Linked DNA regions of Macaca mulatta. The protein of the gene in region 2 purifies or fractionates together with the protein of the main gene of each other region. This does not show direct contact. Links are inferred from orthologs where the notes say so. Each region holds a gene or a part of one and is shown on either strand. Other genes may lie near its edges.

Region 1 (9,540 bases), on a different chromosome or scaffold from region 2:
AGTACAAAGCCTAAACAGAGTGGCTCTGTTGCTCTGGCTACATGTCTTTTTCTTTTGAAAGTGCAATCTAGTAATAACCAAAAGCAGTCTGCAAATGCAAATCCAATTGCTTAACTAATTGTGTTCTCACCCCTGGAGTAATGGAAGCTCATGCTATAGAGGAAAATCTGAACTTAGCATGACCCAGGGTTCTGGGTTCTCAAGGCAGGCCTGCATAGAGCATCAGCTCTGAGGAAGCTCGCTCAAAGGAAGGAGGTGGACAGAAGAGAGATGTGCATGGGTGATCAAGTGGGAACAGAAGACAAACGCCATGGCTGGGTGCAGTGGCTCACGCCTGTAATTCCAGCACTTTGGGAGGCTGAGGCAGGCGGATCACTTGGGATAAGGAGTTTGAGACCAGCCTGGCCAGTATAGAGCGAAACTCCATCTCTGCTAAAAATACAAAAAAAAAAAAAAAAAAAATAGCCAGGCATGCTGGCAGGTGCCCGTAATCCCAGCTACTGGGGAGGGTGAGGCAGGAGAATCATTTGAACTCGGGAGGCAGAGGCTGCAGTGAGCCAAGATCGGGCCACTGCACTCCAGCCTGGGTGACAGAGCAAGACCCACTCTCTCTTTCTATATATAAATATATTCCATGAAAGTAGGTCTCCTCTATAACAACATTCATGAAGTAATGTTGATTTTGACTGACGTATATAAAAATAAAACTCCTAAGTTTGGCAGTATTTACTGGAGATATACTACCCGATTCATTACTAAAAATGTGATAGAGTTTAGTTATGTACGAGATCCCTGCAGTGTGGCTTATTGTGGAAAGGCATGTTTATCTCTCTTTTTTTTTTTTTTTTTTTGTGAGACAGAGTCTTGCCCACACTGGAGTGCAGTGGCTCAATCTCGGCTCATTGCAACCTCTGCCTCCCAGGTTCAAGTGATTCTCCTGCCTCAGCCTCCTGAGTAGCTGGGACTACAGGCGCGCCACCATGCCCAGCTAATTCTGTATTTTTAGTAGAGAAGGGGTTTCACCATGTTGGCCAGAATGGTCTTGATCTCTTGACCCCGTGACCCACCCAACTCAGCCTTCCAAAATGCTGGGATTACAGGCGTGAGCCATAGCGCCCAGCCACGTTTATCTCTTTTTATGTACTTTTTTGTTTGTTTTTGATAGTCTTGCTCTTTTTAAAACAACAACAAACCTTCTAGAAATGATGTCTCACTATGTTGCTCAGGCTGGTGTTGAACACCTAGGCTCAAGCAATCTTTCCATCTCAGCCCTCCACCATTACTTCTAAAAAATAAAACCAGTGTTACGGAATTGTTCAGGTGGGAAAAGCTTGAAGTCTCTGGTCTTCTTGCTTTCATGGTGCCGGGTGCCCAGGATGACTATTTGCATAGAATTTGCCAGATGAGCGTGTGGAAAGGCGTGTCTTCACAGGTGTGCCCCTAACTTTGTGCCTTCCTATCAAGGGAGGCATGGTTGAAGGGCTGCAGAGAGAGCTGTACCCAGGCTTCACATTTAAAAGAATATGGAAAACTCATTACTTATGACATTGACTGAGTTCAAATCCTGGTTTTTCCACATACTAGTGTGTACTCTTAGCCAAGTTATTTCTTCCATTGTTTATTAAAACATAACTTCTGTTTTTAAAGGAAGTCATACATACACATGGTCAAAAACTCTGACAACAGGATTTGGCGAAACTTTCTCAGAAGTTTTCTAGGCATGTATAACACATTTCCTTTTTTTTTTTTTTTAACATAAATGTACCATACATCATGTTCTTTTATCTTTCTTAACACCTCTTAAAATATTATTTTCTTACGGGCTTTGTAGTATTTTGTTTGAATGGATGTATCTTATTTACTGAAAGAGTCCTGTTAACAAACACATAGGTTGTTTTCTGGTTGGAGTTAGGACCGAACAATCTTTGATGAACATCTTTGATCACTTGTACAAGTTTGACAGGATAAACTCCTAGGAGGGCTGCTGGGTCCAAGGCTGTGGTCATTTTCGATTTGAGTAAGTATTACCAAAAGCGCAAGTTATTTAAGTGAGCCCTGATTCGCTCTTCTTTGTAAACAGTGGACAATAATGAGCTTCTCAAACGTTTCTTATAAGGATTAAATGAGATGGGGATGTAAAAGCCCAGTATATAGCAAGCAGGCTGTCAATGAATATTGGCCTCCATCTTTTTTTATGGAGAAAGACAACTATTTATGCATATTATGACGACTATAGCTTAACCATGAGCTCAACAAACACAAAAATTCACAGAAAATTCTGCGATACCGTATCTATTTTAAACCACATTATTGAATGTAACTAGTGAAACCTCAGGTCAAATAGAATGTATTTAAGGAGACACAAACTTGACATTAACTCTAAATACCAGAGTATTGAAGATTTGATAGTTGTCTCTTCTTACAAATATATCCCTCATAATAAAAAAGCACTCCACTAATATGCCAATTATGATACATCTTCCAGTTGTGTTTTGTCCTTGAGCGAAAAATCTTGCTGCTCAATTCAAGTCATTCGTTTATTCATAACACCCATATATATATCTCCAACTCTGGAGAGAAACACTGACAGAAAGATGGAAAATTTTAGAGCCCTCATTTCCACTTCAGAGAGCCTGTTGTCCCCTAAACCTCTTGGGCCCTCGGGCATTTTTAAACTTATCAAGATTCCAGAATGAGGTTAATGGGACGTCACAAAACGAACCCCCCACCGTCCCGTCCCAGGGGCTCCAAGCCAGGACCCCAGCCTGAGGGAGCCTCCGGGCAGGAGAAAGAGGCCCAGGAAGCCATTGCTCCGTTCCTTCCCGGCTGTTTACGTGGCACTCAAAGTACTCGGCCAAGGGCACGGCGACCCCGCAACACCCTCGGCGTGGGGCAAAGACAGCGGGGTTGCGGGGCTCCTGTCTGCCGGGAGCGTCGAGAGTTCCTGCCCCCCCGCCCGCCTCATGCACGGAAAGCCCCGAGCCACGGCGTGCGGCGCTGGCCGAGCGTGAACCGGAGTCGGGTTCGGCTCCCCCGAGCGGCTGTGCGGGCCGCGGAGCGCTTCCTGTGGGGCGGCCACGCAGGGTGCGGGCCATGGCCCGGGGCGCCTGTCCGGATCCCGCCGCCGCGCGGGACGCAGCCCCCGTCCTCGACCCAGGGCGCCCGGCGGCGGCGGCAGCGACTGCCCGGGGCGGCGGCGCGGCGCGGCGCAGCGCGGGGGCGGCCAGGAGGCGAGGAGGCCGGGCCGCGGCCGAGGGCCCAGGGCGCGCTTCCGCCGGGCGCCGCGCGCGCCGCGGTAAAAGGGAGGCTCGGCCGGCAGGGGCGGGGGCCGCGCAGCCGGGGACTTTCAGGAACTGCAGGAGCGGGCGGCGCGGGAGTAGCCGAGCGCCCAGCGGCTGGGCCTGAGCGTCGAGACTCGGGGCCGAGGCGGAGGAGCGGCCGCCGCGCCGGGGCCCAGCCGGAGCCGCCGCCCTCGCCCTTGCCTTCGTCCGCGCGGCTCAGAATCACCATCCGCGGCGCGGGAGACAAGCCGGCCGTCCCGGGCCGGGGGACCCGCCCGCCATGGCCACCAAGGTGAGGGGCGCGCAGCGCAGGCCCGGCCGGTCGCTCAGGCCCGCGGCGGCGCGGGGACGGTCGGGGCTGGGGCCGCGGGGAGGGTTGGGGCCGGGGGCGGCCGAGGGGCCACTCTGCGTCCTCGGTGGGGTCCCCGGGCGGGTCCGCGGCCCAGCCAGTCCCTTCTGGGCATGGGTGCGGCGGACCGTGCAGACGGCCGGGATCGCGCCGGGGGAGGGCGTCGGGTCTGGGCGCGGGTTGGGACCCCGGGTGCAGCGACGTTTGGGAAGTTTGCACCTGAGCTTGGGCTGCGGCGGGCTCGCCGGGAGGGGCCGCGAGAGCGGGACGGAAACTTCCCGCAGCCCGGGGAGGCCCCCGAGGCGACAGGCTCTCTGTGGCGTCCGGTGTCCCCGCGGCGTCTGGCGTCCCCGCCGCCCCCACGTCCCCTCCCGCTGCCGCCCAGGGGACCCTCGGCCCCGTGGGGCGGGTGGGGGTCGAGACCTCAGCAGAGAGGACGCTGCGCTTCCCGTCCCGGCCTGCGGGAGCTCGCGGCCGGGGAGAGACAGAGGCTGGGACACCCCGCGCCCCTCTGCCTTCTCTGCTGTTATTTTTTTCTTTTGTTTTGCTACCTGCTCAGTGTGAATGGTATTGCCGGCATGAATAAAATATCAAGAGGGAAATGACTGTGCTTTCGATTACGTGTTTGCCTAAAAAAGGCCCAGGCCCGAATTACGTGGTGGAACTTTGACTCCTGCTTGGTAATTGGCTAGGAGCGGTGGTTTGCTTGTTTTGCATTATTGTTTATGAAATTAGCAGTCACTCTTTGCTACCTGAATCTTCAAAAGCCACCCTCCCCCACTCCTTTTCCTTGGGCGTTTTCAGTAGTTACTTGGTGTAAAATAGTCACTGGGGAGTCATGGTCGCGGAAGGAGGACCTGGGGGAGGAGGCTCTGTACCTGAACCATTAACTGTTCTGTGATACGCTGTGAGGAGTAGGTTTACTTTTGCACTTAGTTTTTGTAGTGTCACTTTATTAGCATCAGCACCCCTTTCCCTATTTTTTTTTTTTTTTTTTGAGATCTCTGACTACTTTTGGGTTGCTAGAAACGTTATTTTTTATATTTCGATAGCTATTTGCTTTTTTTGGTGGAGTGTTAAGGTAGGAAATGGTAAGAAATGTGAAATCTGTTTAAAAGATCAGCGTTGCTTGACTTCGGTCTGCTAGATGTCCTGTGGTAAATTTTGTGCTCTGAATCCATCTAGGTGCAGCGTTTATAGAGAAGTGGGGATTCTCCTCCAGGGAACCTGTTGCTGCTGTTACTGAAATAATTACCTTCTTGTTAATATATTATTGCCTGTGCTGTGCTTTGGTTTTATTAATGTGATAGAACTTGCCACCTTTTGAACTTATTAATTTTGTGTTGACCTTTTTAAAAATAAAACTTAGGCCAAGGATTTCTAAGGAAATTTGATTTTGAGGTTTGTTGCCAGACACTCCAGAAATTACCAGTTACACATCCTAGTACACGCTCATCTTGCAACCTTAACAGCGGTTTATAGGCTGGGCGCGGCGGCTCACTCCCACCTGTAATTCCAGCACTTTGGGAGGCCGCGGTGGGCGGTTCACCTGAGGTCGGAGCTCCATACAGCCTGGCCAATATGGTGAAACTCCGTCTCTACTAAAAATACAAAAATTAGCTGGGCGTGGTGGCGCGCGCCTGTAGCCCCAGCTGCTCCGGGAGGCCGAGGCAGGAGAATCGCTTGAACCCGGGAGGCGGAGGTTGCAGTGAGCCAAGATGGCGTCGCTGCACTCCGGCCTGGGCTACAGAGCGAGGAGACTCCGTTTGAAAAAAAAAAAAAAAACCAAGGCGGTGTATGACATAGAGATCTGTCCAGTGGTGGTCTGTGTGTTTTTACACTCTGGTCTACTGAGGCATGTTACCTGTACTGTCCTTTAAGTGGAATGCAGTTTAGCAACTAGTGCAGGTATACGTAGTGAAATTTTTATTTCATAGTTAAGCCTGAACTTAATTTTTTTTTTCAAAAAATTGAAAAGTGGTTCTTGTATATTAATCTTGAATTGCATGTGTCTTTGCTTAAACACGAGCCTTAAAACATGCATAAGCACTTCCTACTTCGTTATCTACACCACTCCGAAGGCAAATTCCAGTAATTCTGTTAGTTTCTTTCGCTGTCTAATCACTGTTCCACATGGTGCTCATTTCCATGTCTACATTGTGACAGACCATTTCCATTTTAAGAAAAAGAAGAGCAATGAAGCAGTTGTTAGAAGAAGACCCTTCCTTAGTTTTCTGACATCCTGGTGATACTTGGGTCAAACCAAAGTCTCATTTTTTAATTGTCCCCAGAGAGACAAGTTGCTACTTTCCTCACTTGCCCCATATACACACCCCTTCCCCACACCTGAGTAGTTCTGTTTTTTTTCTTCGTCTTCTTCAAGGGGTGGGGAGAATGTGCTTAGTAGTAATGACTAATTTTTAATAAATGGCTCCAGTGGCACTCAGGCTGTTGCTGTAAGTATTAAGTGATGAAAAGTAAATTCAGGATCTGGATATTTTAGGGGATGTTCATTTCCCTTTGAATTTACCAGAAACTTGGCTATAGTATCTTCAGATACAATTTTCTTGTTTGTTCTTAAGTATTTTCTTAAGGATGTGGTTATCACTGAACTATTGGCATTTTAAAAAACTGCACTAGTATATTTTACAATAGAAAAGGAAATTATCATTTAGAAGAAGTAGTTTAGTTGAACAGTCCTTCACTGCTAAGGAAAGTTAATCAGGGCCAGGTGCGGTGGCTCACACCTGTAATCCCAGCACTTTGGGAAACCGAGGCAGGCGGATCACGAGGTCAGGAGGTCGAGACAATCCTGGCTAACACAGTGAAACTCCGTCTCTACTAAAAGTACAAAAAAAAAAAAAAAATAGCTGGGCGTGGTGGCGGTCACCTGTAGTTCTAGCTACTCGGGAGGCTGGGGCAGGAGAATGGTGTGAACCCGGGAGGCAGAGCTTGCAGTGAGCCAAGATCGCGCCACTGCACTCTAGCCTGGGTGACAGAGTGAGACTCTGTCTCCAAAAAAAAAAAAAAAAAAAAAAAGAAAGTTAATCAGTAACTGCACATTTTAAAGGGATTATCTGTTTTCTATTTCTAATCCTTACTCAGTAGAATGCTGCATTCAGTTTAAGTGTATGCACTCACTCAGTGCAATCAAGTCTTGTTTTACAAATATTAATACAAAACCTGCAGAGCATTTTAGTCTTGATCTTTATTGGAAGCCTCCAAAGGTTATATTTTGACCTAGCCAAAATATAACCTGTTTATATTATACGTTATATTGATAAATATTATATATACGATATACAATATATAGAATAAATACAAAATATACAATAAATATATTGTCAGTCATCATGTTTTATTTAAAAGATCAAGTCCTAGGAAAGAAATGAATTTTTTTTCAATGTCTGTCAAAGGGGACATGAAGAAAATTGTTAGTGGAGGTTAATCCATATCTATATAATTTAGCTGTAATTTCCATGTCAAAGTTAACCTTCAGTCACTAATTTGGATCCTTTTGTGCTTACATAGTCACCTTTAGACTAATTATAACAAGATTCTAGGAGTTCTTGTTGCTTTTTTTTTTTTTTTTTAACTCCTCAGTTCCAATACTTAGTTATACACATGTTACATAGCTTGTCTGGTTAAATTAAGTGGGTATGGAATGTTAAAAATAATGGTAGGGAATAAATGAATTGCTGTTTATTCCGTGTATAGGTTAGTGAGAACAATCTAGAAGGCACACTTTGTGGCATCTCCAGAGCAGAAACCTCTTTATTTGAAGACTAGAATAGAAATATCTTTCTAACGGGTCTTAAGGATTAAAGTTGATTTTTATGGTTTTTTAAATGTTTGGAAAATGCTAACCATTTAAGTTTGTATAGCAGTAGTATTTTCTGTGTGTCTTAAGTGGAGTGTGCAGTATTTGTACAGTCAAAGAAAAGTTCTGTGACGGTAGAAAGATGAACAAGTCTCATTAAAGAAGGAATATATTAGAAATCATAAAAATGTTGCAGTTTTCTACTGTGCCTTGTTTTTGTATTGACCATCTAAAAATTAAATTATAGTTTTACTTTAATTGCTTACTTAAAACTTTGTAACTTTGCAGTACTGCTGTTTCTTTTCTGGAATGCTGTTCTCCCTTGTCCTTCCCTAGGTACTTTGTTTTTAGATGTTAAGTTATTTTATTTATTTATTTATTTATTTTTTTGAGACGGAGTCTCGCTCTGTCGCCCAGGCTGGAGTGCAGTGGCGCAATCTCGGCTCACTGCAAGCTCCGCCTCCCGGGTTCACGCCATTCTCCTGCCTCAGCCTCCCGAGTAGCTGGGACTACAGGCGCCCGCCACTGCGCCCGGCTAATTTTTTTCTATTTTTTAGTAGAGACGGGGTTTCACCAGGTCGTGATCTCCTGACCTTGTGATCCGCCCACCTCGGCCTCCCAAAGTGCTGGGATTACAGGCGTGAGCCACCGCGCCCAGCCTAGATGTTAAGTTATTATTATTATTATTATTATCATTATTATTATTATTATTATTATGAAGTCTCCCTTTGCCATCCAGACTGGAGTGCAGTGGCACTAACACGGCTCACTGCAGTCTCGACTTCTCTGGCTCAAGTGATCCTTCCACCTCAGTCTCCCAAGTAGCTGGGACAACAGGTGTGCGCCACCATGCCCAGCTACTTTTTGTATTTTTTGTAGAGATGGGGTTTCACCATGTATCCTGAGCTGAGGTGATCCTTCCTCCTCAGCCTTGCAAAGTATTGGGATTACAGGTGTGAGACACTGTGCCCGGTCACATATTAGGTCTTAATGTGTCTAAGCATCACTTCCCTGGGGAAGCCTTTCCTGATGTCCCCGCCCCTGTTTCAGGGTCACATTACACACCCGACTGCCATTTTATATTTGTTTCTATAATTGATGGCTGTCTCCATTGAATGCTGTCAGCCTCAAGAAGCTGAGACTGTGTGTGTGCTCACTTTCGTATCTTCAATGACCAGTTTAAAGAGCAAAAATATTCTAGTGAGATAAGTGACTCGATTATTGAAGTAGAAAATATTAATCCCTAACTGTAAGCTTTTGTTCTTTTAATTATGTGTTTTTGTGTGTTTGTTAAAAGTGTATACAGGTACAACACAAAATTTACATCTGCACCTTAGGTATTGGCAATAATATTTTTTAAAACATAATCAATTTTACTAATGATTACATGAGAAATTGCCTCATGTTTTAAGGCACTTGGAACAAGCTTCATATTTCTGAGACTTTGAAGAGTTGTCTTTAACCTATGGGTTTTCAGAGGCGTGTTTAATTTCCAAATGTATTGGGTTTTTCTCTTTCTTGTTGGTGATTTCTAACTTGATTGCATTGTGATCAGGGAGCCTGATTAAAATCAGTACTGTACCTGGAAATTTGTTGAGGCTAACTTTATACCCAGCATATAGTCAGCTTTTATGTTTCACCTGTGGACAAAAAGAGTATATATATTATTGATGTGTGTGTCTATTCTGTATGCTGTATGTCCATTAGACTTATTGTGCTGTTCATATCTATATCCTTACTAATTGTGTTTCGCTAATTGATCTGTTGTATTTAACTGATCCTCTGTCTACTTGATGGAGATATTAAAATGGTGAATTTAAAAATTTTCTCTACATTTAGAATTAGTATTATTTTCTAGGTGAACTGAAGTTTTTATCATTATGAAGTGAACCTCTTTATCTCTGGTAATGCATTTTTTCTTAAAGACTATATTTCTAATGTTAATGTGATTAACATTCACCAGCTTTTGGTAAATATTTCCCAAATATATAAAAGCCAATAGCTGAATTTTACCTTTTTATCCAGTCTGATCTTGGTGCCTGCCTGTACAGCATTGTGTTTACTGATGTATTTGGATTTCTGTCTACCAT
Region 2 (9,644 bases):
TATTGAGAAAATATTAGCTCTCTGGAGCACAAAGATTTTATTATCTTCAGAACTAGCACCCAAACTGCTAGGCTTTGAAGTCCTTTCCTGAAGAAAAAAGCCAAATCCAAGGAACTCTAAAATTCTAAAGTTGGGAAGGATCTTAGGGACCATCTGGTCCATCATCTCACCTGCAGTAAGAATTATTCAGCCCCTCAGTTTGGGGTACAGTTTCCTTTTCTTTGTATCCCCACAACGTCATGAACATAACCTAAATCTCTGCAGTACTGAAATTATCATAAATGCCTGTCTTTCCCTATTAGATGTCAAGCTCCCTGAGGGCAAGAGCCATATGCTACTCATTTTCACATCCCCAAATTGGTGCACATCAGGTATTGAGTAAGTGTCTGCTGATGTGACCGGATCATTCTACAATTTCTGCCTAAATAATTCCAGGGACAATAGCCTACCACTTTCTGTGATATTTATTCCATTATTTATGATTTATTTTTTTGGGAGTTTATAATGGGAGTGCCCATACCATATCATTTCACTCCACTTTACAGGCACATATTGAAAGTCTACAAGTGCCAGGAGTGAGTCTCCCTTCTTGCTCCTGTTTATACTCTTGGACAAAGCAGAGTGAAGCTCTTCCAAAAAACCAAGAAAGCGCTGACTAAAACAAGTCCTCATTCCTCACCTTCTCAGCTCTCACCTCTTGGATCTGTGCCCCCAATCACCTAAGGGACTTTGGAATGACTGAAAAGAATGAGCTCCTTATGGGCACGGGTCATGTCATAATCAGCTCCAGGTCTCCAATTTAGAAGGCCTTGCCCAGAGAATAGGGGATCGAAGTGTGTTTATAAGACTGACTCGACAAGGAAAATGTTAGTATGATTGAGTTCAAATACTGTCACCAGGAAGTAACAACTCTCTAGCACCTGGTAATGGAAACCAGGCAGCCATTTTGCCTTTTGCCAAAAGCTTTCCCAAACCCCACCCGTACCTTCCAGATACAGACCTGTTAAATGGGCCACTTTCCTCTGCTCCTTTTTCTCAGGGGGTGGACTGGGGTGACCTGTATCATAGAGAGAGGAAAAATATATGTTAAAATGAAATACCAACTATTATTTTGGTGGGAATTTAAATCCCATCATTTAAAAAAAAAAGATTTTAAAACCATAAATGGCAACAGTCTAACATATACTAATCATGTAAGTCTGAACTGCGGGATTCACCGTGGTCTATATTTCAGAAACAAAGAGGTAAAAAATAAACCAAATTAAGATTGACACATGCATAAATTATAATGTTACAATAAAATATAATTAATATAAACGTTTATTCATAATGAGCTGTCATGTCAGTTATTGCATTTAGAACTCACCACAACCCTTTGAGGTATGTATTGTCCCACCCCTTATCAATTGCAACATGAGCTTAGAAGTTGGGTGACTAATCCAACTAGTCAGCATCAGAGATGGGACCACACCCTGGTCTCCTGACTCCAATTCCAGGGCTCTGTCCACTCTGATTCTCTTGTCCCTAAGACTTACAGGAAAGAGACTGAAGAAGACCACTAATCTATCTGCGTGTCACCAGATCTTCCCCCAGGGACATTTTACAATCTTCCCCAAATTAAGTATCTTAAGTCCTCAGACAATTACCTCATATCACTGAGGCCTCAAACACCTTTAATGGCTCCTTCCTGAAGATGCAGTTGTATACAAGTCTCCCCATCACACAAGCCCAGCCCATCTGTCCAGCCTTATCTCCTTACTCCCACTGAGCACTGCCACACAACGGGAGTTCTGTGGCCTACACGTACCCCCACTTCCCTTCCTCTGTGCCTTTGTTCATGCCATGCCTTTTGCCCATAATGTTCTTTCAAACAGATTTCTGTGTCAAATTCCTAAACATCCCATAAGGACTATACCTCTTTCTTTGGGAAACCCTCTCAAACCTTTTTTGATCAAATATGATCTTCCCCTCTTTTGAAATCTAGGATCATTCTGTCTTCCCCTCTCTTGTCATTTCTGACTCCTCTTCTCTGGGGTAACTACATAAATTATCTTATTCCGCTCAAATAATGACAAGTTCCTTACGATATGTTGAATTCACCAGAGAAGCCCAGTTCCTAACACAGGGCATGTTACTAGCAAATGTCAGATAAATTAAATGGAAGAATAGACAGTAGTTCTCAAAACAGACACTATTTCTCTGACTTCAACTATTTCAGACAAGATAGACAGCTGCCACTTAGCTAACGCATTCAGCTAACTGAGACCTCAATAAATATTCACACGAGATGCTTGAATACGTCAGGTTCGTGATTAGCCTGTAAAACTCACGTATGGTGTGAGAATGGCCCAATTCACAGAGAACATTACCTGAGCGATCATGATCTCTCTGGTCACCCAAGACAACCCACCATGAAGGAGGTGTTAGTGAACAGGAAAGGCAAAACTGAGTCTCTTCTGCATTCCTACACCGCAAACCACCCGCGCGACTCATCTGGCATTCAGCCATGCACCGGCAGGAAACAGAACCGAGAACCACATGTTGCATATCTTTTTATCCCTCACAGAGCCTAGTACAACATTATTTTTACAGAACATGCTCACTAAGAATATCTGCTGTACATATGCTGGAATAAATAAACTGCAGAGATACCTTAGACACTGGTGATGAGTGCTTCCTGCCCCAGGGTTTTTGCATGTGCCGTTCCCAGTGTTGAAATGCTCTCCCCCAGCCCCACCCCACTCCACAGCACATGCACACAGCCCTTCGCTCATCAGGCTTCTGACCCCCCAGGTGTCAGCATAAACACCTCCTTAAAAAGGATTCTCAGCTTATACTTAGTACAACTTTGGAATTGTATGGTCTGTTTGCTTGCTTTTGTTTAGCTTCTTCACCATGCTAAAAGCTCTATAAGGACAGGTCCCCTGGGCTGGCTCATCCTCGATCAGCGTCCAACACCCAACATCTAGCCTCACGCATGTGAATGAATAAAAGATTTAATTAGCTAACTGGAAAAAAATGGAAAATGTAAAAAGGAACAAGTTAGAAAGTATAAATAATCTATAGTAGTATCTCCCAGAGAAAATCACTGTTAGTATGTCAGTGTGTAGAACCTTCTAGTTCCTAAGAATATAAAAACGTGCATACATGGTTACATAGTCAGTATGAAACGAAATATATCCTTTTGTAACTTGTCTTTTTATCTAACAATACACACTGCACAATCCCCAAGGCATTAAATGTCCTTCTGATACATCATTTTTAGTTGCTGCTTATTATGTGCTTGTTTCAATACACCATAATGTATATAACTAATCTAGTATGAGGCATTCAAGTTTCTTCTGGATTGTTTATTATAAATAGGCTCATAAGGGAGTAATGAACATCCTTATATATAAATCTTCAGGCACATCTCTGATTATTTTCTTAAGAGAAATTCTTAGTGATAGGATTACAACATAAACTATTAGTTTCAAGCTTTTGATATGTATTTCTAAAGTGCTCTTCAGAAAAAGTTATAGCAATTTACATGTATACTGGCTGAAACTAATGTTTAAACAGCACTTTTCTTTCAAATCTTTGTCAGTCTGGGTTTTTGTTAACTTTACTAATTTGATGAAAATTGGTGTTCCCTATTTTTAGTTTGCATCTCTTTTCTTATTAGTAAAGTTACTGATTTGATTTCCTTGTGATAATTTAACAATTTCTGGTTCATCTGGGTTGATCTAGAGAAGATAATTGCTTACTGGGGTAGATGGACATGACTCGTCTGGTCATTTGATTTTTAATCACTAAATTGACTCCAGAGAGGAGGTAAAAGATGAATGCTTAGGTACCTATCAGACCAGGCACATTCCACAGGTTTTCAAAATGATCTTATTTGAGACATCCTCCAGAGGCTTTATTTTTCTAGCAAATATTTCCACTCTGCTTGTGTACATATGGACTTTCTAACATTTAAGGATTAGGACACAGACTCAGGGGCCAGAGCTTCCCAACAGTGGCTCCTATAAGAACTTAACAGTCTAGGACAGTAGACAGGCGACTGGGTTGCCTGCAGTAGCCACATCCAGAGAAACTGAAACTTACTTCACTTAATAGATGGCCAGTGCTGCCTTCTTCTTTATTCTGAGTTTCTAAGGATGCGATCTATCTATAGTCTTTGCAGAGGTATCCTGCTTTTCCTCTATTTCTCACTCCATGCTCACTACAGAGAGACAGGAGTTTCCCTACTTCATGAGGCACCAGTCCAGTACCGGAAAGCCCTGTAGGTGACAAGGCATCAAGAGCCTGTGTTCCTTCTAGCCCCAGTTCCATACTAGGGGTCTTGGGCATATTCACCTAATCCGTCTGGCATTTTGTTTCTCTTCCAAAAAAATGAAATGGCTGGACTGGATATTCTAAGCTTCCTTCCAACTCTAAACCTTCAGTGAATCTCATTGTAAATCTAAATCTAAAATTTCAATGAATCTTAGGCTAGTGAAGCACATTGTAAAATCCATCTGTACAGAGCTTGCAAAACTATGCCCTGAAATTTCACGAGATCAGTGTTCCAACATATCGTCTTCTTGCCCTAGCTCCCATACAAAGGATTTTCCTTTGTGATCAAGGGTACCTCATGACTGCCTCTGAAGCTGAACATCCTTTGAATGATGGCTGAAGTCTTCCCTTCAGCTTCTCAGTGACTTCAAGAAAAACCATTCTAATGTACGGAATTGATTAGCCACATTTTAAAAGCTTACGTCCTATAAAACATTTTGTAAATAAAGTTTCACTGTAATCTCTTTAGAGGCTTTAAAAGAGGAGAGGACGTTTCTCAGAAACATCTGTCTCTGCCTTCACTTCGCCTTCTCTTCCCAGAAGTCATAGCCACTGGCATGTGTGCCAGGACCAGGGTGTCTGTGGAAGGGGACAGGCCTGGAACCACTGCTCAGGGGGCAAAAGTCCACGGTTGTATATGTGTGTCTCTTTCCAAAGTCAAGCGGAAGTGATTTTGAATTGTGTGCCGTGCTCAGCTATATTGATTGTGAGCAATTCAATTCACTTCACATTTATAAAGCAGCTCAAGGAATCATACTGACCAGAGATTCCGAATTAGCCAGGATTCCTCTCATAGTATACATAAGCCAAAGTGTAGGACAGAATATAAGGCATTCCATTAACATATTTCAGTGCTGAGGATCATCTTTAGGAACTCAATGTACATGTGAAAAAGGACTCACCTATTTGCTTCTCCAAAGATGATGCTGTATGCTTCTGGCTGGTAGACTAGTAAAAGAGAAAGAAAAAAGATGCATAATAAAAATAAAATTATTTAAGCAAAAGAGACAGAATCGTCAAATAAACCAAGCCCTGGAAAGAGAATCCAAATACCTCAGAACTTTTGCTGACTCAGGCTTTGGTCAAGCAATTTTGCTTCACTGTCCCTCAGTTTTGTGATTTGAAATCGTACCAGTATTTTAAGTATTTTCAAGATTTAGTTTGGTCATCTGAACAAATTTACTTCCAAGCAAAACTTAAAAGTTTTGTTTGTTTTTTACTCCTTAAATCACTAGGTATGAGGCAGTAAGTGGTTCAACAGACTGAGTTGACAACTGAGGAAAGAAAAACTGTTGGGCTCTGATTCTTTACAAAATAAAAAATATTCCCTTCACTCCTATGAGCCTCCATTTCTCTGCCTATAGAATAGAATAACTAGAACAACCCATTTCTAAGAAAAAAAAAAAAGGATTGAAAAGCACTTTGCAAGCCAGGCAGTGGGCCCTCCACCCCCTTATGCCTGGTGCCTCCAGGGCACAGCAGTCTGCCAGCAGGCTTACCTCTCGGAGTTCTGCCAGCTCTTTCTGTAAGTGGAAGAGCTGAAACATCCCCAGTCCCAATCCTACCAAGGCAACCAGAACCATGAAAAACATCACAAGGAGACAAAGGCCTGTGCTGTGGTTTCCCCTCTTCTTCAAGGGTGGCAGCGGTAGTGGAGGCAGTGGTGGTGGCGGTGGAGGTGGTAGTGGCGGCGGCGGCGGCGGTGGTGGTGGCCTCCTTTGACCAGGCCTTCTGGGCACAGAGGTTGGACAGGGAAGAACTGTGCCTGGAGGGGCCCAGGGAGAGCTGGCACTGCTGTCCACCCAGTAGATCTGGGGATATGGGTAATTGAAGGGCTGCTGCATGGCAGCCGGTGAGTCAGGCCAGCCCCAGCAAACGGTTTTACTTCTCAATCCTGTAGAGGCTGAGGTGTCAAGGACAGGACTCCTGTTGCTGACTGCTCAAGAGGAGGCAAGCTGGATCTCTCTTATAGAGTTTCCATAGCTAAGGGAAACACCTCTGTCTTTCTCTTTCTCTATGTCTCTCTCTGATTCTGCTTCTCAAAGAAACACCCACTCACTTTGCAGCTGAAGCTGAGAAGCCTCAAGAAGCTCAGAGCAAACCCCTGGAAGTTTCCGCCCACAATCTTCTGACGAAAGCCTTGGAAGCCTCAGTTGCTATCGCTGTACTACCCAAACAGGTTGGTAGGCTATGCTCACCTTCCTGGGATCCTGTAGAGCAGGTCAGCATTGGGGTAGAGCCCTGTTGGCGTGAACTGCTCCCAGCTACAGGAGAATGGCCAGTGGGGCTATAATTTTATGAATTATAATTGTATCCTTTTTTATACATTACAATTGTATAATGTTAAGAATTCTACCATGTATACGACCAAAAAACTATTTAAAAATACCAAAATAACTCTAACAAAAATTGTTCAGAACCATATTTTTTAAACTATAAAAATTTTACTGAAATTGGCTCTGAGGGGAGAGACCATGGAGCCATGGCCAGAGAAGTCACTCCCACATTTTCGTTTTTGCAGGAGGAAAACACCTGTTGCCATCATCGCTTCCCCACACACAACTACCATTTACCCTGACCTGCCAATCACCATAATTTACAGGTTAAAAAACCTGCTACACCCTCTTTAGAAATTAGATCAGAGGCTGCAAACAGTGGAACCCACAGAACTGCTTTGTATTTCACAATGTTTTCATTTTCATTGTTTGCCCAGCTTATTTATTTACGTATTTATTTAAATAGAGACAGAGTCTCACTCTGTCACCCAAGCTGGAGTGGAGTGGTGCTATCGTAGTTAACTGCAGCCTCAAACTCCTGGGCTCAAGCAATCCTCTTGCCTCGGCCTCCTAAGTAGCTGGGATTATAGGCATGAGTCACTACACCTGACTTATTTATTTATTTATTTATTTATTTTTGTAGAGATGGGGACTCGCTATGTTGCCCAGGCTTGTCTCAAACTCCTAGCTTCAAGACATCCTCCCACCTCAGTTTCCCAAAGTGCTGGAATTACAGTCATGAGCCACTGCACTCAGCCCAATTGACCACTTTTAATATCAATATTAAAAATATTTTAATATATATACATTTTAAATACACATTAAAATACATATTTTTGTTCTGTTTTGCAATATCAGAATATCAGACACCCTCGAGGCCATCTCTGCAAACCCAATCAGTGGGAAGTAGGTAGCAGCTGCTCCTGAGAATGAGCGACAGGTGTTCTGGGTCACCCAGCCTCCGCCAGCGGCCTGTGTCTCACACATCACCTCACCATCTGAAAGGCCTGCCTGGTCCTTGCCGATATTTCTGTGTCCTGTCCCTGTTATGGTTGCCAGATTAAATACATGGTGCCCAGTTAAATTTGAATTTCAGATAAATAATACATAATTTTTAGGACGAGTATGTCTTAAACACGTCCAAACATGGAATACACTAAACAATTATTCATCATATAACTGACATTCAAATTTAACTCTGTGTCCTATTTCTTTGTTTTTCTGTTGTTGTTTAAAGTTGGCCTCTCTACTTGGGCTCACCTCACCCTTTCCTTTGGCCTCACATACCATTTTTATGCCAATAACTTCCAAGTAGTTAGCTTCAGTCTTAATCATTCCCCAATAGAAGCCAAATAAATCCCCCATAAATCCAAATTTTTCATTTCTTTCATGTTTATTACCTTTCAAATTTCATTAGTTTTTATATCATGTTTTGGGATTTCCGTGACTGTCATTCAGGCCCACTCACCTGTACCAAACCAATACCAAGGATACTCTTTCCCTGATATATTCTGCCCATCCCACCCCATCCCCATCCCCGTACAATCTGTTTCTCCTGAGGCCACTCTTTCTGGCGGCAACTTCATCTCCTTTCTTTTCCTCTCCCCCAATGTTTAACTGGTCACCCAGGACTGTTGCTTTTACCTGAGACCTGTTCCTTACCCTCCCCTCGGTTTACTGCTCCCCTCCCCCATCCTTACCACTCCCATTTTTCTTACTGCTATTGCCTGGGCTCAGACTTTTTATCTCTCACCTGAAATACTGCAATAATGACCTAACAGGTGCCCTGCCACTGACCTTTCCCAAGCCCAAATCACTCAGTAAAATGCTACAAGAAAGATGTTTTTAAAAAACAAACCTAATGATCTCACTTCCCTTCCTTGTGTTGGAAGGTTTGATTCCAAGAATAATGCAAGCTCCTTACCATTACCCAAGGCTCTTTAGCATCAGCTCCCACTGCCTCCTTATCAGGCACTCCTGCTCACATCCCACTCTCCACTCTTAAACAGTGCAAGGGATGAGACTTAACTCACATGTGGCTTTATTCATCATTATGAATTCAACTAACTTTAAACGTCGTAATAATCAGAAATTGTAATTTTAAGAATTCTATCATATATGCAACAAAAATACTATTTGAAAATCCCAAAATAACTGTAACAAAAATTGTGCAGAGCCATATTTTGTTTTTTATTTTTTTGAGACTGAGTGTCACTCTGTCCCCAGGCTGGCGTGCAGTGGCGTGATCTTGGCTCACTACAACATCCGCCTCCCAGGTTCAAGTGATTCTCCTGCCTCAGTCTCCCGAGTAGCTGGGACTACAAGCACATGCCACCACACCCAGCTAATTTTTGTATTTTTAGTAGAGATGGGGTTTCACCATGTTGGCCAGGATGGTCTCGATCTCTTGACCTCATGATCTGCCCACCTCAGCCTCCCAAAGTGCTGGGATTACAGGCATGAGCCACTGCACCTGGCCCACATTTTTTAAATTATAAAAATTCTACTGAAAATGGCAAAGATTCAAATAAGTGGGAAAATACACCATATCCTGGATGGGGAGGTGCTGTTGCATGATGTTTGGGGGTGAGTGGTTCTGGAGTTAAACTATGTGGCTTCCAATCCCAGCTCTTCTGCTCATTAGGACAGGTCAGCTTCCCTCCTCGATGCCACAGTTTTCTCATCTATAAAAATAAGCACGACCGTAATAGTACCTGCTTTATGGGGGTCGGGAGGAGTAAATGAGTCAAAGCATTTGATACACTTAGAATAGTCCCTAGCACCAAGGTAGGCACTCAACAGATGTTGTAAATTTAGTGAATCTTTCCCCAAATAATTTATCTATAAACATAATATAATTGACCTTCTTCCATTAAGGACAAAGTGGAGAGAGGGAAAGAGGTTGCGGGGGAAAGTGCAAAGTCAATGTTTGACACCCAGTATCTCTCTGAAATCCTGCCCTGAACTGATGGGCCCCTCCATTTCAGACTACTACCTCCCGACTTTTCTATCTCAAACTCCCCACAGAAACTTCCAGCACTGTCCAAT
Region 3 (9,856 bases), on a different chromosome or scaffold from region 2:
CCAGTGAAGGAGCACCCAAGCCTTCCTCCCTCCTCTTTCCCCTTCTGGCTCAGCTCTCCATCCCTGGGGATCCCCTCCCCTGTCTGGAGGGCACAGTAGAAACACAGTAGAAATCCTGGGCTGCGGAGTCAGACACATTGGGCGCCAGCTCCTGCTCTGAGGCTCATCTGCATTGCTGCACCTCGTCTGTAAAACGGAGGTGACCACATTGCCCTCCTGACCTGTCATGAGCCTTAGGACCAGCCCTGCTCTTGCTGGCTCTTAAGTTGGGGGGCCATAGGTCCCGGCTTGCCCCGGACAGTCCTGGACACTTTCCCCTTGTTGTCCTGGGATCACTATTGCTAGGGCCCCCTTTTATGCCCCAAACTGCCTATGGTTACCCTTCTCTTAGGAGACCCCTGGATTGGGCTACAGGGACTAGGCCCGTGGGAAGACCAGGCTCCTTTCAGCTCCAGCCAGGGTTTATGTCCCATTTTATTTCATTTTATTTTTATTTTTGAAAAGCATACAAATTTGTTTAATGTAAGTTTCACATGACATGGAGCCCTCCTAAGGAAATGAAGACCCTCAGGTCCCATTTTGTTCACCTAGAGACTGAGGGGAGAAATCTCTCCCAAAGTCATGTCAGATGCAAAGTTTGTCCAAATCCTGGTCTCCTGACTCCCACCTAGGCCTCCACTGTCCTTCCTCCCACACACTCACCACCCATTCAGATGTCCAGACAAGCTGAACAGAATCCTTGGGGCCCAGGACCCAACTGTTCTTCTCCTTTCTGTGAGAAGGGCTCCACCCCTAGGGCCAGCATAGGACCCCCTCCTTATCACCCCCATTGGGCTGTGGTCCCCAAAGCCTGTCCAGTTCTGTCTCAGTACCCGCTCCCTAACTTGCCCCACACCACAGGCCTGGGAGGAGCAGTGCGGAGCCCAGAACTTAGAGTAAGCCAGAGGGGGCTTAGCCCATTGGTAGGGTTCATCCCGGGAAGGGAAGGAGGTGGGCTGGCCTCTGCTTCAGGTCAAATGCATCAGCACAGAGGACAGTGGCCCCTGACTCTTAGAAACACCTCAAGTCGAAACTCAGAAATGGCCTCTCTCAGTTCGGTCTCTCTGCCCAGGGTCAGAAAGGCCAATCCGGCTTCCCCCTCAGCCTGGGAGGCCCTGGTGTCCTTCCTGGGTGTGGGGCTGCCCTAATGCCCTCACCTCTGTTCTGGGTGGGGGTCCCCAGCCACTACATGGGAGCATCTGTTTAATCATTGCGCTCCCCCTCCTGCTGCCTGCGCAGGAACAAGCCATCTAAGGAGCTGGTTGAACCAGCCTTCCCACTTCTGCTCAGGGAGACACCTGCCCCAGTGGGCCCCCAGCAGGCCTGGCCATCTCCCCTGCCCTATTCCTGCCCCAGAGCTCAGAGTCAGAGCTAAGGTGTCATTCTGCTTCTGAACCAGACCCTCCCCAAGAGTCCCTTCCCACCCACTCCCTCGAAGACCTGACCTTCCCTTGTTTTACAGACCAGGAAACTAAGACCCAGAGAGACAAAGGCACTCCCCAGGGATGCACAGCAATCTAGGGGCAGAGCCAAGACTAGCACTCAGGTTTGTGTTTCGTGGAGTTCAGAGGAGGAAGAAGAAAGGTAGAGATGAGAAAAAAGAAAAAAAAACAGGAAGAGGAAGAGGATATAGTGAGGGGAGAAAGGAGGCTGGGAGCTAGAGAAGTTATAGAAGTCAACCTCTTGGTAAAGGAAAGTAAGGCCAGCTTACCCCAGGTCCTCCCTGGTGGTGGTGGGTGACATGTTTCCTGTTCCCCAGGCTCAGTCCAGAGGTCTGCCTCCTGGCCCCACCCAGAGTCAAACTCCCCACCAAGCCAGGCCTGACCTCAGGGCCCAAGGGCCAGGGAGCCAGCTCCACGCCCTGCATACGAGTTACCCAGCAGCCCCAGGGAGGATCACACCTCTCTCCTGACATCTGCCCTCCTAGCTGTCCCCAGGACTCAGGTACCTGCTGGGGCAGTCACTGGCTGTCTCCTCAGGCAAGAAGAGAAGCCAGGCTTGGGAAGCAGGAGTTGGATAGGCCATGTGGGCAGTGCCCTGGACCCCTGATTCCGCAGCCTGGTCCAGCCAGGGTGCCCCTGTGTGACCCAGGATGAGTCATTTCCCCGGCAGTTCCTTGACAGCCCCAGCAGTAACAGGCAGAGGCCCATCCTGTCCCTCCCCCACGGAGGGGGTCATGACAACTGAAAACACGGCTAGGCTTGGGAAGCGGCCAACATGGACGTGTCCTTGGGGAGGTAGCAGGAGGAAAGGACAGTCCCAGCCGGGCCACAGGCTGTGCAACCACTCTTCTGTGGACACTAACTCCTTCATCCGCAAAATGGGGACAGGGATCTTCCTGCACACAGACAAGACGCTCATAGAGAGAATACACAGTGGTGAGAGTAACTTGCAAAGCTGCAAAGGTGGGGAGGTGAACTTGCAAGGGGCAGAAGACAGGCCCCCACTCTGAGCTCTTGTTATCTGGGTTGGGTCTCTGTCTCCCAAGGGCCTACCGGCTCCTCCAGGGCAAGGCCTGGGGCCCGGTCATCTGTGTGTTCTCAGAACCCAGCATGACACCATGCATGATGGGTAAATGAGATCCAGAGAAAATGAATGAATTGACAAGAAGGTAAATATCAAGCTCCATGAGGACAGAGACCAGGCCTGTGCACAACAATATTCCTGTACCTAGAAGCACATTTGCACAGATACAGAGTTGATACTCAACATGTTTGTTTGTTTGTTTGTTTGTTTTAGAGACAGGGTCTCACTCTGTCACCCAGGCTGGAGTGAAGTGGCACAATCGGGCTCACTGTAGTCTCAACCTCCTGGGTCCAAGTGATTGATCTTCCTACTTCAACCTCCCAAAGTGCTGAGATTACAAGCATGAGCCACCATGCCCAGTCCAACACATTTGTTAAATGAATGATTGAGACAGAGAAATAAAGATAAGTTGCTCCATTCTATCCAGGCCATCCCCATCTCCCCAGGGCCCAGCAGAGAGTCAGACTCAGGATGGGTTTCCTGCCTGCACTGGGTCTTACCTTTCTGTAGGTGGATGATGTCAGGGAAGTTAGAGAGCAGGCCCTGGTAGAGAGACAGTGTGTCCAGCATCTGGAAGAGGTCATTCTTGGGCTGCTCAGCAAACATCTCCCCGATGGCTTCATAGGTACGGCCCGTGTGAGAAATGGCACTGTTGAGGGCCTCAGAGCAAAAAGGGGGGTCCATCTGGAAGGAATGACTGATGGCCTGGAAGGCACTGCCCAGCTTCTGGAATTCCTTGCGGAAGCCCCCCACGTGTTTACGCACCAGCTCTGACGCCACGGTGCTGAGCTGCAGGACACTGTCGTCCATCTTCTTACTGAAGGCCTTGAAAGTGTCCACGCGATCTTCCACGTCCTGCAGGTCCTGGTGCTCGGTGGGGATCTGGAAGGTGAGCAGGAAGCTGGCACCCACCATCTCATCCTTCTCCGCCCGGCGTTTGCCCATCTTCCACTGCTTGTCATCTAGGCAGCTAAGGAAATGCTGGAAGCCTTCGTACTGGGAGAGCACAGGGTGGCTGGTCATGTGGTCCATCCAGAGGATGAGTCTCCGCTTCCGCTTTTCAATGAAGTCCTCCTCGAAGCGGCCTGTGGCCTGCTTCTCAGGCAGGTGGGGCACTGAGATGACAGTGAACTTGTGTAGCAGGCGGTTATAGAGCCAGTCAAAGTGTTTGTAGCGCCGGTAGACAGGTGAGGCAGCATGGGTGGGTGTGAGCTTGTAGGAGATGTAGCTTTTGATGCCCTTGAACTTGGTCTGTTTTGTGGGGTCCTCCACAGAGCAGGCAAATGGGTGGGGGTTGGCCTTCCACTGGGGGCCACGAGGGCCCATTTCAATGGAGTATGTCTCAGCGATCTTGGCCATCATGGGCACATCACCTAGGATGAAGGCCTCCACTCCAGAACGCACAAAGCATGAGAAACGGTTGAGGTTACGGCCCACCACACTGCCTCGCTTGGCAGATGCCAGGCTGTCCTGCCGCTCCAGTGGTGGCTTGGGCCGGAAGGCCATGTGCTGGCTGGGGTAGGCACCAGGGTAGGAGAGGTTGAGGGGAGGGTGCCCATTGGTGCCCAGCCCACCAGCCCGTGGCTCCTCCACCACTGTGCATCCATCGTCCCAGTCATCCCAATCATCATCATCATCCTCCTCGAAGCTACCCTGGTTTGAGAGGAAGCCACTGCCCCCACCACTCCTAGCTGGGTTGGCCACACTGGGGCTATTGTACAAGCTCACGTGGGCCCCCGGAGAGCCTGCAGGGCTGCTGGAGTAGTCAGCATGGTTGGTGCTGATGCCAGAACGGACGATCTCCACGTAAGAGGCAGGAAAGAGCCCTGTCTCCCCACGGCTGTTCTGGCCCTGCAGCCAGCCATCCAGTGAGATCTCGCTGAAGATGACCAGGTCCTCATCCTGCTGGATGCTGATTTCCTCCTTGTTCTCACTGTGAAAGTCATAGAGGGCTCGGCCTTTCAGTGCCATGGTTGGGCTGGGTGGTACAGACAGATGGGAAGGAGAGGGTCCTGTCCAGACCCGGGATGCTCACAAGGAAGTCCAAGAATGCACTCGCAGCTGAATGGCGCTTACACAGTTCAATCTCTCAGGTCCTAAGGTGGGGTCTCAGCACCCACAGATGCTGTCCAATCTCCTGCTCTTCAAAGCAATGTCCACGGCCCAGAAACTGCCCTATCAGGTCTCCGGGCATATGCTTGTGAGCAGGGAGGGCTCATGTCCATAGCCTCCTCCCTTAGCAGCCCCTGGGGGATTAGAGGGGAGTCTCTCCTAACTCCTACTCCCAGAAGAAAAGTCAAGTGACCTGGAGAAATCTGCCCTGGAGGGGAAAAATTCGACACTTTCCACTGGAACAACGTTCTAAAATAGAAGAGACTCACTCGGAAACCACCATTCCAGAAACCCAGGCAGGGCTCGGCTGTCCCTCTGGCTCCCAGATTCTTTTGGCCACTCTCGCTTTGGGAGGCTCTCACATTCCTCTGCAGATCTGCCCCTTCCTCCTTCCTCCTCCTCTTGCTCCTGGGCCACTGGGTTTTCAAATATCCGGAAAATCCAAGAGGGGCAAGGAGAAAAGCAGCAGCCTCCTGAATCGAGTCCAAGGGTGGATGTGTCCGGCTTCACAACGAGCCAGGCCGGGAAAACAAGGACTGAGGCTTACACAACAGGCCGCCAACTCTTCGACCCCGGCTGCGCAGCCGGAGCCCCCGCCGGCTCGGGCGCCCTCTCCCCGCCCCAGAAGTGGCCAGTCCCAACCCCGGAGGAAGGAGGGGGCGCGACGAGGCGGTCGGGCGACTTCTGGCCAGTCGCTGAGTGGTCTCTTTTGTTTGCCTAATTCCTCAGCAGTTTCTGAGACTGACGCTGACCCTGCTCTGAATCCCAGGAACCCCGTCCAAAGGTAACCCCAGCAGAAACCAGTTCCTCACCCGGGACTTACGACCCCCGACCCCCACCCTCGCGTGCACGCACACACTCAACAGTTTGGAGTTTGGAGAGTGAGCTCCGGCGAGCAGATGGCGCGGCTGGCCGTCTGTCCGTCCGTCCTCCGCTCCGCCCTGCGGGGCCCGGCCAGTGGGGGGCGGGCTGCGCCCCCAGCCTGCCTTCCCCTGCGCTCGCAGACCCTCCGCGCCGCCAGCGAGAAGGCAGCTCCAAAACAAAAACGCGATTCCGGGAGGTGGCGTCCCGAGGAAGGAGGGGATCGCCAAAGGGGAGGTGAGGGGTGGGGAGAGGGAGGAGGGAGGGGGAAGCAGGCTGGAGAATCGGGCAAACTCCGCTGCACTTCCGTGCGTCCCGGCGGGGCAGGGACGGCCAGCTCCGCCCTCCCGCGGGCCCGGGGCGCTGCAGCCGAGCCCCCGCCTACTCCTCCGCGCGGCTTCCCATCTGGCCAGTGCCCTCGCTCAGTCCCGGGCAAGAGGGAGGAAACGACCCGGGAACGAGGGAGCCCGAGAGCCTCCGGGGCTGGTCTCTGGGACCGCCACCTCCTCTGCTCTCCCTCCGTCTGTCTGCCCTCGCCGGGAGACACCTCACGCCCCCGTGGTTGGAGCGCCCGGCGGTGGAGCTTGCCAGCCACTGCTGCCTCGCTTCCTGGACTCCGTCATCCTCCTGCCTTTTCCGTGACGCAAATGGAGTAAAACTCCCAAAGTTTGCAAAGCGTGGGGCTGCAAGGAGCACCGCGCCAGAGCCAGGATGGGGAAATCGGGCCGGGCGGGGAGAGGTGCGTGAAAAGCCGTGCCAGCTGGGGTTGGGGAGCAGAGTCGCGGGCTCGCCTTCCCACCTTCCCATTCCCCACTCCTGCTCCGCAGGGACGGGGTCGTGGCGCAGCTCGGAGATTGTTTTCCGGAGGGGTAGAAACGGCCTGCGCGTTCCGGGCGTCTGACCTAAGATACCGACAGCTGAGGGTGCAGCACCCTAGCCAGATAGGGCGACCCTGCCCTGGGCGACTAGCTTGGAAGGAGGGAAAGACACTACCCTACATCTGCAGCGACAGGGAACAAGTCTAGGTGCCACCCGGTTCCGTGTTGCTTAGTGCGGCAGCGGGACTGGATGTTCTGTACTAGCCAGGGGCAGCAAGGAGAGAGGTGGTCAGGTAGAGAGTCTTGAGGCAAGTGGGATCTGATCCTCGGTCAGCATATCGGGAACACTTTGGGCACTGAATCTGCTAGGCACTGTGCTGGGCACTGGGGAGTACACCACAAGTCAGTCGGGGTTCCTATCCTGGGGGGCTTACAGTCCATCCTCTCTTGTCTTTAATCAATCCATTCTCAGTCATTCATTCAGCCAAGTCATGCACTCAAGAAACATTAACTGAGTATCTACTCTGCACCAGGCCCCTGAGCTACAAAGACAATTAAGACATTATCCTTATTTTCCAAAAGCTCAGATGTGTTGTGACAAGTAGACAAATGCTCCCTGCCCAGTGTGACTAGTCAGTGCCATGAAAAGTGCACATGAGGATACCTACTCCAGCCTGGGTGGAGCAAGGATCAAGGAAACCTTCCTGAAGGAAGAGGTGCCTAAGATGAGGCAAAGGCTTCAGGAGGATCCCCTTTCCTGGCTGTACCCTGGAGTCTTGTCTACCCTGTCCAGCTAGATCTTCCCTTCATTCTCTCTCTAGTCACTTATTGCAGATTAACTGGTACAAGGTAGTTCTGCTAAAGATGGATACCTTTGGCTGTTTTGAGGGACATGGTTCCCAGACCTCTGGCCCCAAAACCCAGTTTCACTGGTTGAGTGAGTGCATCCGACTAGCTTTGCAGGTCTGGCATTTGACCAGAATAAAGGCCTGTGTACAAACCCCAGAAGGCTAGGTATTAATTTGCACAGCGAAATAAAACTGTCAAGCAGAACTGAATTTCTGCATCAATAGATCAAGGCAGTTTGGGCTACCCCTTTGGAAGCCCAGTTACCAGAAAGTTAGCTCAGTGAGTCCGGAACCTCCAAGAGGGGAAAAGGTATGACGAGTCTCTTAGTCAAGTAACCTTAAAACCTTGTTTCCTGTCATGGGGCAGCCTTGATTCTAAAGACACAGTTCCTCCTAGCATCTCTAAGACTGAATATACGTTTTCCCCACATGCTTTTAGGACCCCTCTTCCCTGTGATCTATCTTCTGTCCACATAGCCTTTCTCTAAACTGAGTTTAACAATAGCATCAGGGCCGGGTGCAGTGGCTCACACCTGTAATCCCAACACTTTGGGAGGCCAAGGCAGGTGGATCACTTGAGCTCAGGAGTTTGAGACCATCCTGGGCAACATGGTGAAACCCCGTCTCTACTAAAAATACAAAAATTAGCTGGGCGTGGTGGCGTGTGCCTGTAGTCCCAGCTACTCAGGAGGCTGAGGCAGGAGAATCGCTTGAACCCGGGAGGCCAAGGTTGCAGTGAGCCGAGATTGCACCCGCCACTGCACTGCAGCCTAGCGACAGAACAAGACTCCATCTCAAATTTTTTTTTTACTCCACTTTCCCCACCAGCTATTGCCCCATTCCTCTGCTCACCTTTGCAGCAAAATTCCTTGAAATAACTCTCTCTCCTAAGTGCGTCCAATTTCTTTTCTCCTGTTCTCTCTTTAAATCCCTCTAGCCAATCTTTTACTCCCACACTCCACTGAACTATTCTTGTCAAGGTCATCAATATCCTTGGTGTTGCTGGACCCTAATGGTATTATTCTCAGTCCTTCTCTTATTTAACCTTTTGGTAGCATTTGTTTTTTTGTTTTTTTGTTTTTTTTTGAGACGGAGTCTCGCTCTGTCGCCGGGGCTGGAGCGCAGTGGCCGGATCTCAGCTCACTGCAAGCTCCGCCTCCCGGGTTTACGCCATTCTCCTGCCTCAGCCTCCTGTGTAGCTGGGACTACAGGCGCCCGCCACCTCGCCCGGCTAGTTTTTTTTGTATTTTTTTAGTAGAGACGGGGTTTCACCTTGTTCGCCAGGATGGTCTCGATCTCCTGACCTCGTGATCCGCCCGTCTCGGCCTCCCAAAGTGCTGGGATTACAGGCTTGAGCCACCGCGCCCGGCCACCTTTTGGTAGCATTTGACCTGGTTGATCACTCCTTCCTCCTGGATACACTTTCTTCATTTGCATTGGAGAGAACATACTCTCCTGATATTCCTTCTACCTCACTGGTTCATCCTCTTCTCTCCAATAATTCTTTTTTTTTTTTTTTTTTGAGACGGAGTCTCGCTCTGTCGCCCAGGCTGGAGTGCAGTGGCCGGATCTCAGCTCACTGCAAGCTCCGCCTCCCGGGTTTATGCCATTCTCCTGCCTCAGCCTCCCGAGTAGCTGGGACTACAGGCACCCGCCACCTCGCCCGGCTAGTTTTTTGTATTTTTTGGTAGAGACGGGGGTTTCACCGTGTTAGCCAGGATGGTCTCGATCTCCTGACCTCGTGATCCACCCGTCTCGGCCTCCCAAAGTGCTGGGATTACAGGCTTGAGCCACCGCGCCCGGCTTTTTTTTCTTTTTTGAGACAGAGTCTTGCTCTGTCGCCCAAGCTGGAGTACAGTGGTGTGATCTCGGCTCACTGCAAGCTCTGCCGCCCGGGTTCATGCCATTCTCCTGCCTCAGCCTCCCGAGTAGCTGGGATTATAGGTGCCTGCCACCATGCCCGGCTAATTTTTTGTACTTTTAGTAGAGACGGGGTTTTGCCATGTTAACCAGGCTGGTCTCGATCTCCTGACCTCGTGATCCGCCCACCTCAACCTCCCAAAGTGCTGGGATTACAGGCGTGAGCCACGGTGCCCAGCAAGCCTCCTATAATTCTTAACATTAGAGTAACCACAGTAGAGTTGTCCTCTTGTCTTTTGTATCCACAGGCACTCCTTTGATGATCTCATCCAGCCGAATGACTTCAAATACCACTCATTCTAGTAATGCCCAATTTTTAAAATCTCCAGCCCTTTTTAAAAAAAACTCCTAACTCATATATCTATTTCTCCTTGACATCTCCCCTCAGAAGTCTAATGGATGCCACCAACCCAAAATGTCCAAAATTGAATTTCTGAACCAGGTGTGGTGGCTTATGCTTGTAATCCCAGCACTTTGGGAGGCTGAGGTAGCAGGATCGCTTGAGCCCAGGAGTTCAAGACCAGCCATGACAACATAGTGAGACCCCATCTCTACAAAAAATTTAAAAATTAGCGGCCGGGTACAGTGGCTCACATCTATAATCCCAGCACTTTGGGAGGCCGAGGTGGGCAGATCACCTGAGGTCAGGAGTTCGAGACCAGCCTGGCCAACATGGCGAAACCCCATCTCTACCAAAAATACAAAAATTAGCCAGGCGTGGTGGCAGGTGCC

What was found.
Region 1: the proteins of FASLG (region 2) and SNX9 purify together in Homo sapiens (co-immunoprecipitation; 3 studies listed by BioGRID and IntAct, with this or other methods). This does not show direct contact. The link is inferred for Macaca mulatta from reciprocal best matches to the Homo sapiens genes FASLG and SNX9.
Region 3: the proteins of FASLG (region 2) and SNX33 purify together in Homo sapiens (co-immunoprecipitation; 3 studies listed by BioGRID and IntAct, counting the BioPlex papers as one, with this or other methods). This does not show direct contact. The link is inferred for Macaca mulatta from reciprocal best matches to the Homo sapiens genes FASLG and SNX33.

The regions. Positions count from the first base shown.
Region 1 is NC_133409.1:76,687,454-76,696,993, forward strand, and holds the start of SNX9 (sorting nexin-9), read left to right. Parts: upstream 1-3,349; 5' UTR 3,350-3,561; coding exon 3,562-3,573; intron 3,574-9,540. UniProt on the Homo sapiens protein: Involved in endocytosis and intracellular vesicle trafficking, both during interphase and at the end of mitosis. Required for efficient progress through mitosis and cytokinesis. Required for normal formation of the cleavage furrow at the end of mitosis.
Region 2 is NC_133406.1:30,153,997-30,163,640, reverse strand, and holds the start of FASLG (tumor necrosis factor ligand superfamily member 6), read right to left. Parts: upstream 6,207-9,644; 5' UTR 6,165-6,206; coding exon 5,820-6,164; intron 5,269-5,819; coding exon 5,223-5,268; intron 1,058-5,222; coding exon 1,001-1,057; intron 1-1,000. UniProt on the Homo sapiens protein: Cytokine that binds to TNFRSF6/FAS, a receptor that transduces the apoptotic signal into cells. Involved in cytotoxic T-cell-mediated apoptosis, natural killer cell-mediated apoptosis and in T-cell development.
Region 3 is NC_133412.1:53,686,321-53,696,176, reverse strand, and holds the start of SNX33 (sorting nexin-33), read right to left. Parts: upstream 4,627-9,856; 5' UTR 4,537-4,626; coding exon 3,066-4,536; intron 1-3,065. UniProt on the Homo sapiens protein: Plays a role in the reorganization of the cytoskeleton, endocytosis and cellular vesicle trafficking via its interactions with membranes, WASL, DNM1 and DNM2. Acts both during interphase and at the end of mitotic cell divisions.